2 linked regions of the Callithrix jacchus genome follow. The protein of the gene in region 2 interacts with the protein of the main gene of each other region in a pairwise test. Links are inferred from orthologs where the notes say so. Each region holds a gene or a part of one and is shown on either strand. Other genes may lie near its edges.

What was found.
Region 1: the proteins of KIF9 (region 2) and PRMT6 interact in a two-hybrid assay, tested with the Homo sapiens proteins (2 studies listed by BioGRID and IntAct). The link is inferred for Callithrix jacchus from reciprocal best matches to the Homo sapiens genes KIF9 and PRMT6.

The regions. Positions count from the first base shown.
Region 1 is NC_133508.1:139,159,721-139,164,040, reverse strand, and holds the start of PRMT6 (protein arginine N-methyltransferase 6), read left to right. Parts: upstream 1-1,368; 5' UTR 1,369-1,391; coding exon 1,392-2,519; 3' UTR 2,520-2,577; intron 2,578-4,320. UniProt on the Homo sapiens protein: Arginine methyltransferase that can catalyze the formation of both omega-N monomethylarginine (MMA) and asymmetrical dimethylarginine (aDMA), with a strong preference for the formation of aDMA.
Region 2 is NC_133516.1:29,928,154-29,931,968, forward strand, and holds part of KIF9 (kinesin-like protein KIF9), read right to left. Parts: intron 2,989-3,815; coding exon 2,764-2,988; intron 1-2,763. UniProt on the Homo sapiens protein: Essential for normal male fertility and for progressive motility of spermatozoa.

The sequences.
Region 1 (4,320 bases), on a different chromosome or scaffold from region 2:
TTTAAGCTGGGAGAAAATGGTATTATGCCCACCTTGTTCATAACACAGACACTCATATAGATGCCACGCATATTTTAAAATTTATTTTAAACAACAAAGAATAACAGTTGATGGTTGGCTTTAAGAGAAATAGAAGAGGAAGAGGAGAGTGTCAACATTTCCAGACAAACACTGGAAAAAATGAGTTGCATTGAAAAAGTGATCAACAGAAATGGATTCTGTTATTTCTGAGAGGAAAAAAAATACACACACACACGCACATATATACGTAGCGAGAGAAAAATACACCTAGCAACGAGTTTGCTTTGATCACATGGCTCTTTAGTCTGCACTTTTCAGGATTTAACTCTTGAGTGAGCCACACAGAATATCAGAGCAGAGTCGAAAGCCAATAACTATTTTTCTAAGTATAACCAGAAACATAATTCTTCCCCAACTGCAATGAAGATTCATTAGTGGGTGAATGGGCAATTGAAGGCCAGAGTTCTATTTCTTGCCCTAAATCACTCGACTAATTAGTAGTCATACTGGAATCAGAACCCAGATTTTGTACTGCTAGGTTTTTTATTTTGTTACATTTGCACCCTAACTCCACTGAAAACAGAAAAGAGAAATGCGTAGTGCAATTTCGATAATTTCCACATCTGGAGCACTTTAAGAGCTACAATTGTCCTGCTAAGGCGGTAGTGGGTGGATGGTGCCGCCATAGTCGGTGGAATAAAACCAAGGTGAGTTAGGTTGGGCGTGGTGGCTCATACCTGTAATCCCAACGCTTTGGGATCCCGGGGAAGGTGGATCACCCGAGGTCGGGGGTGCCAGACTAGCCTGACCAACATGGAGAAATCCTGTCTTTTCTAAAAATACAAAATTAGCCGGGCGTAATGGTGCATGCCTGTAATCCCAGCTACTCAGGAGGCTAAGGCAGGAGAATCTCTTGAACCCGGGAGGGAGGCGGAGGTTGAGGTGAACCGAGATCGTGCCATTGCACTCCAGCCTGGCAACAAGAGCGAAACTCAGTTTCAAAAACCAACCAAACAAAAAAACCAAAGGTGAAGATAAATTGAGCAGAGAAAGGTGGATTATTAGTCTCGAGTGGGCGTGTCGACTTCAGGAAGGGAATGAAAACAACAAAGTGATAAGGGTTGGAGGGGGAATGAAAGGATCTCAGAATGTGGGTATGGTGGGTGGGAAAAGGGATTCCAGGACACCAGAAGAGCAGTACAAAACAGCTCCCGTGGGCAGGCACCGGGGAGACACTCCGGCCCTCCGGTCAGGGGACCCCGCAGGAAGTGGGAAGGACGAGCGCACACTACAAGTCCCAGAATCCCCCGTTTCCTGGAGCCCGTGCCGTGGCGCGCTACGCACGCCGGGAGCCGGCCGGGGCGGCCAAGATGTCGCAGCCCAAGAAAAGAAAGCTTGAGTCGGGGGGCGGCGGCGAAGGAGGGGAGGGAACTGAAGAGGAAGATGGCGCGGAGCGGGAGGCGGCCCTGGAGCGACCCCGGAGGACTAAGCGGGAGCGGGACCAGCTGTACTACGAGTGTTACTCAGACGTTTCGGTCCACGAGGAGATGATCGCAGACCGTGTCCGCACCGATGCCTACCGCCTGGGCATCCTGCGGAACTGGGCAGCACTGAGAGGCAAGACGGTACTGGACGTGGGAGCGGGCACCGGCATTCTGAGCATCTTCTGTGCCCAGGCCGGCGCCCGGCGCGTGTACGCGGTAGAGGCCAGCGCCATCTGGCAACAGGCCCGGGAGGTGGTGCGGTTCAACGGGCTGGAGGACCGAGTGCACGTCCTGCCGGGACCGGTGGAGACTGTGGAGCTGCCGGAGCAGGTGGATGCCATCGTGAGCGAGTGGATGGGATACGGCCTCCTGCACGAGTCCATGCTGAGGTCCGTCCTCCACGCGCGAACCAAGTGGCTGAAGGAAGGCGGTCTTCTCCTACCGGCCTCCGCCGAGCTCTTCATAGCCCCCATCAGCGACCAGATGCTGGAATGGCGCCTGGGCTTCTGGAGCCAGGTGAAGCAGCACTATGGTGTGGACATGAGCTGCCTGGAGGGCTTCGCCACGCGCTGCCTCATGGGCCACTCGGAGATCGTGGTACAGGGACTGTCCGGCGAGGACGTGCTGGCCCGGCCGCAGCGCTTTGCTCAGCTAGAGCTCTCCCGCGCTGGCCTGGAGCAGGAGCTGGAGGCCGGAGTGGGCGGGCGCTTCCGCTGCAGCTGCTATGGCTCGGCGCCCATGCACGGCTTTGCCATCTGGTTCCAGGTGACCTTCCCTGGAGGGGAGTCGGAGAAACCCCTGGTGCTGTCCACCTCGCCTTTTCACCCGGCCACGCACTGGAAACAGGCGCTCCTCTACCTGAACGAGCCGGTGCAAGTGGAGCAAGACACGGACGTATCAGGAGAGATCACGCTGCTGCCCTCCCGGGACAACCCCCGTCGCCTGCGCGTGCTGCTGCGCTACAAAGTGGGAGACCAGGAGGAGAAGACCAAAGACTTTGCCATGGAGGACTGAGCGTTGCCTTTTCTCTCAGCTACCTCCCAAGGCAGAAAAAGGGAGATCCCACGTGCAAGTAGGGGAAATATCTGTCTCCCTTTTCCCTCATAGCCTCCGGGGAGGGAGAGTGACTTCATTCTCCCTTTGAAGAGATTCTTCTGGTGATGTTTATTTAAAAAGTGATCCCCCTCAACAACGGATACAGCGTGCTTATTACTGGGCTTTTAAGCCTCAAAAGCGTGTAGTACCAAGCACTTGTATTTCCGTATATTTTGTCTCGCAGGGGAGGGAAGGGGGAAGAACACGGATGAAAATACCAGTTTTTCAAGGGTCCATGTACATCCCTGACATCTCACACCTTATCTAAGTCTGAAGCTGGGGAGAAAGGGTTCATTTAAACTTCATAAATTTCCAATACGACTTTAGTATCTCTCCAGAGCCATATTTTCTCAGTCTGAATTAATTCCCCATTCCTAGGTGCCTGTGGGCTATGGTACTTCTTCTTCATTGTTTTCTAAGTAAACTTTGCTACTGGTAATGAATGGGAAGGCTAAGAGGAAGCAGTTTAAATAGCCCCGCTCTCATTACTCTTAACACACACATAGGGTGCTAAAGTTGATGAACACATGAATCCATTAAGTAAAATAGTCTTTGTAAAGCATACCTAAGAAACTCAGAAGGTGCATTTAGGTGAAAGAGACCAGAAAGAGAAATAGTATGGATTTTTAAAAATTCTTGTCTCTACTATTACAACCAAAAAAAAAAGTATATATATATATTTCATGGATGTTCCATAAATATTTTTTTAATTCTTATGAAACAGGCTGGTAGAGGAGGTTTCTGAGCCTAGCCCAAGGGCTTATTCATCACTATGGGTAAATTATTTAAACTCAATTAAGGAAAATATTTTCCCAGCTAGAAAAAAATGTACTCGTTCTCATTTAAACTCATTTGGAGGGATCATGTGAGTTGGCCTACTTAATACTAGTGAAAGTTCCCTTATTTTTCTCTCTCCGTTTCACGCAGCCAATTGTGAAAGTTGTGAGTTTTAGGAAAATCACTTGTAATAAAGTGTAAATCTTATCAAATTTATTTTGCTGTTTTCCTCCTTATCCTTGTAGCAAATAAAACATTGACATTCTCACATTTTGTTGATGAAGTAAAAGTCTTGTGTGCTGTCTATGAGTTATAATGCTTTTGCCTTTTTAACATTGTCAGTTTTTAAGTGTTACAAACCCTTCAGAATATAACTTCAGGACAATTCAAACTATGCTTAATGTATGGTTTTTGAACTGCTGTATGCTAAGAAATTAGGTGTGAAAAACTGGTGTTCTGAAATAGCCTGATGTTTATTGTAATTCTGAGTTTTCTGCCTTTTTATTCATCACATATTAAAGTATTAGAGTATTATAACTAATTTGCTAAAATTTGGTGGTGTATAACACAAGATCTTCCATCATGGAGACACGGGTACAAAATTATCAATATGCAAGATGATTGAGTAGGAAGCAGTACAGTGATAACTTCACCATTTTGATACTAAGATAGTTAACGGCTCATGTAAAAGGTACAGTCACAGCACACTAGGCTTGACTTAAGCTAGAAGGGAAAAAATAGCTTCTTCTAGGGTCTTCTGTATTTTAAATCAAACATTTCTTTAGAGTTTTAGTGTGTGATTTGAAGTAGGTTTCTGGTGGTTTGGTTTGTTTTTTGAAAAAAGTTGATTTAACAATCCCTTTACTGAGTGATAAATGAGAACATTCTTCCAAATTCTATTTTTCATATATTTTATAAATATAAATACTGTAGAGTTATCCTT
Region 2 (3,815 bases):
ACTTTAAAAACAATAAAAATTTATATTTATTTAGTGCTCACAATTTTTTTTTTTTTTGAGAGAGCATCTCAGTCTGTCACCCATACTAGAATGCGGTGGCACGATCTCAGCTTCCTGCAATCTCTGCCTCCCAGGACCAAACCATCCTCCCATCTTGCTTTCCCAAGTAGCTGGGACTACAAGCGTCCACTAACATACCTGGCTAATTTTTGTATTTTTTGTAGAGACAGGGTTTCACCATGTACCAAGGCTGGTCTGGAACTCATGAGTTCAAGAGATCTGCTCACCTCGGCCTCCTAAAATACTGGGATTACATGCATGAGCCACTGTATCTGAACTATTAATTTGTATTTTTAAAGGGACAGTAGGCCCTTGCCTCTAATTTACAGGAGTGGGCCTTATGACCAGAATATACTTAAAAAGGAATGTGGTGGAAATGGCTGTTCTCAGAGAAAAAGGTCCTTGAGGGATAGACTGATGTATCTTTCAATGCTGATGAGAAATGCTATGAACGAGCCCCAAAGTGGGGGTGGGGAACAGCACACCCTGGGGAGAGGAGAGCACCTGCTAAAGAGGGAAGGACTGACTGAGGCTATGGAGCAAGCCTAGCAGACCCCTGTGGCTATACCTCTATAGCTTAGAGCAACGAGGCTATAGTCTGTGGTCAGGCCGGTTCTGCAAATCCAGTGACACTCACCAAGAATATAAGGGGTCACTTCACCTTTCTATCTTTTTTTTTTTTTTTTTTTGAGATCAGTCTCACTCTGTTGTCCAGGCTAGAGTGCAGGGGTGTGATATTGGCTTACTGCAAACTCCACCTCCCAGGCTTAAGTGATCCTCCTTTCTCAGCCTCCCAAGCAGCTAAAACCCCAGGTGCAGGCCGCCATGCCCAGCTAATTTTTATATTTTTTGTAGACACAGGGTTCCGCTGTGTCGCCTGCACGGGTCTCAAATTCCTAAGCTCAAGCAATCCTCCTGATTCAGCCTTCCAAAGTGCTGGGATTACAGGCATGAGCCACCACATCCAGTCATTCACCTTTATTCTTCATACCCCTTCTGAAGGACGATTTTGCCTTGTCTTTCTTTTTGTTTTTTATTTTTATTTTTTATTTTTAGTAGAGAGAGGGTTTTACTGTGTTGGCTAGGCTAGGCTCAAACTCCTGACTTCCAGTGATTCGCCTGCCCCGGCCTCTCAATTCTGGTATTACAGGCATAAGCTGCCACGCTTGGCCTTGCCTTGTCTTTCTGACCCTTTAAAAAATATCCTGCTATTGATGTTGAGGAAGTAAGTTGCTATGTTGTGAGATGGCGCTATGATCATGCCTGTGAATAGCCACTGCACACATGCCCATTGCCTGGGCAACACAGCAAGACCTCGAAAAAAAAAAAAAGAGAGTTCCCAGCCTACATGACTTCTAAAAGAATAACATACACTTGATTGATTTCTTTCTTTCTTGTTTTTGAGTCTTGCTCTATTACCTAGGCTGGAGTGCAGTGGCGTGATCTCAGCTCACTTGCAACCTCTACCTCCTGGGCTCAAGTGTATCCTCCCACCTCAGCCTCCCAAAGTGCTAACAATGCCTGGCTAATTTTTGTATTTTTGGTAGAGACGGGGTTTCACTGTGTTACGCAGGCTGGTCTCGAACTCATGAGCTCAAGTGATCTGCCTGCCTTGGCCTCCTCCCAAAGTGATGGAATTACAGGCATGAGCCACTGTGCCCAGCCCATTTGACTGGTTTCTAAGAGCTTTTATTTATTTTTTTGAGACAGCCTTGCTCTGTCGCCCAGGCTGGAGTGCAATGGTGCGATCTCAGCTCACTGCAATCTCTGCCTCCCAGGTTCAAGCAATTCTCCGGCCTCAGCCTCCTGAGTAGCTGGGATTACAGGTGTGTGCCACCACTCTCAGCTAATTTTTGTATTTTCAGTAGAGACAGGGTTTCACCACGTTGGTCTGGCTGCTCTCAAACTCCTGATCTCAAGTGATCCACCCACCTTGGCCTCCCAAAGTGCTGGGATTACAGGTGTGAGCCCACGGTGCCCGGCCTCCAAGAGCTTTTGGAGGCCTTATACTAAGGATGCTAATTTTTATGTTCTCCACAAAAGAGCTCATAACTTAATATTAACTGGAAAAAAGGGACATAAGAATAATACAACTATGTAAAGAAAAAAACTGCACAGGAAAAAAGACTGGAAGGAAATAAGCTAAAATATACATTATTGTTGCCTTGTGTAAAAAACAGATTATGCATGAAACATTTTTTTCTTTTTCTTTTTATTTATGGAACTGGAAAGGAAAAGGAAATGAAATTCTTTTTTGTTCCTATATATTTTTTAGCACTATCCAAACTTTCCTAATGTGCATATATTAATTCATTCTGATAATCAAAGTAAGTAAAAAAACTGGCTGGTCACAGTGGCTTGCCTTAATCCCTGCACTTTGAGAGGCTGAGGTGGGAGGACCGCTTGAGCCTAGGGGTTCAAGACCAGTCTGGGCAACATGGTAAGACCTTGTCTCTACAAAAAAAAAAAAAAAAATTTAAGTGGGCATGATAGCAGTGCCTGTGGTCCCAGCTACTTGGGAGGCTGAGGCAGGAGGAGCACTTGAGCCCAGGATGTCGAGGCTGCAGTGAGCCATGTTCATGCCAGTATAATCTAGCGTTGGAGATAAAGCAAGATCTTGTCTCAAAAAAGAAAAAAAAGAAAAACTGAGAAGGAGAAAGGAAAGGGGAGAAGCAAAAGAACACTTAGGTTTTGTTATCTCACCTCAAAAAGGAGGCTGAATGCATCCTCCTCCTGACTTGTGAGGTGGACTGACAAGCCCTTAATGAAGACCCCTTGAGAGTTTTCCACGATGGTCATTGGCGTGACTGAGGGTCCAACATAGGGCAGAGTGGACAGGAGATCAAACAGGTTCTCATTATAGATTTCCAAGTAGGAAACACGCACAGTGATGGCATATGTGGGGCGTTCTTCAATCATCCTAAAAACCTAGATGAGAGATTATACACTGGTCACCAAGAGCAGAACTCCAACAGCCAGCTAGTGTAAGGCGGCTTCTTACCTCAGAAGGGAACATCAAGACATATAGAGTAATTCTTGTCCTAAAGGAATTGGGAGATCTTTATTATCATCTTGTAGTTTTTCCAGGCTTGACATCAGACTGGCTAACACTTGAACCATCTCAAGAAGCAGAGGTATCATGAGTGGAAAGGACTCTGGAGTGAGGATTTCTTATTTTATGGAGTCTCATCATTTATATGCTTCTTTCAAATCTATTTTATTCCACCCTCATATAAATCTCTGTGATTGAGGCAGTGCAGGGGCAATACCTATTTGTTGAAGGCACCATGAAATAAAATTATTGGTTTATGGTCACTCAGCTAGTAAGACTATTAGTAAAGCCAGAATGCAGCCTTCTCAACTCCTAATGCCCTCCCTAGTGCCTATTAAGAAAGAGATAATCCCTGAGGTCCTGCCTTCCTGTGAGAATTTTAAACCTGTGCTGTTCAAAATGGTAGACACAAGTTATAGATGGCTGCTGAGGACCTAAAATGTGGCTAGTACAAATGAAATGAATTTTAAGTTTTATTTAATTACATTTAGATTTAAAAATCAATAATTCAGTTATTGGTAAATTTTAAGTATGTCTGGAATACTCTTGGGTATATAAATCTACTTTTTTAACATTTTAGGAAATCTAAATACAGATTAAGTATTTCTTTTCTTTTTCTTTTTTGGAGTCGTGTTCTGTCACGTAGGCTGGAGTGCAGTGGCACAATCTTGGCTCACTGAAACCTCCACCTCCCAGGTTCAAG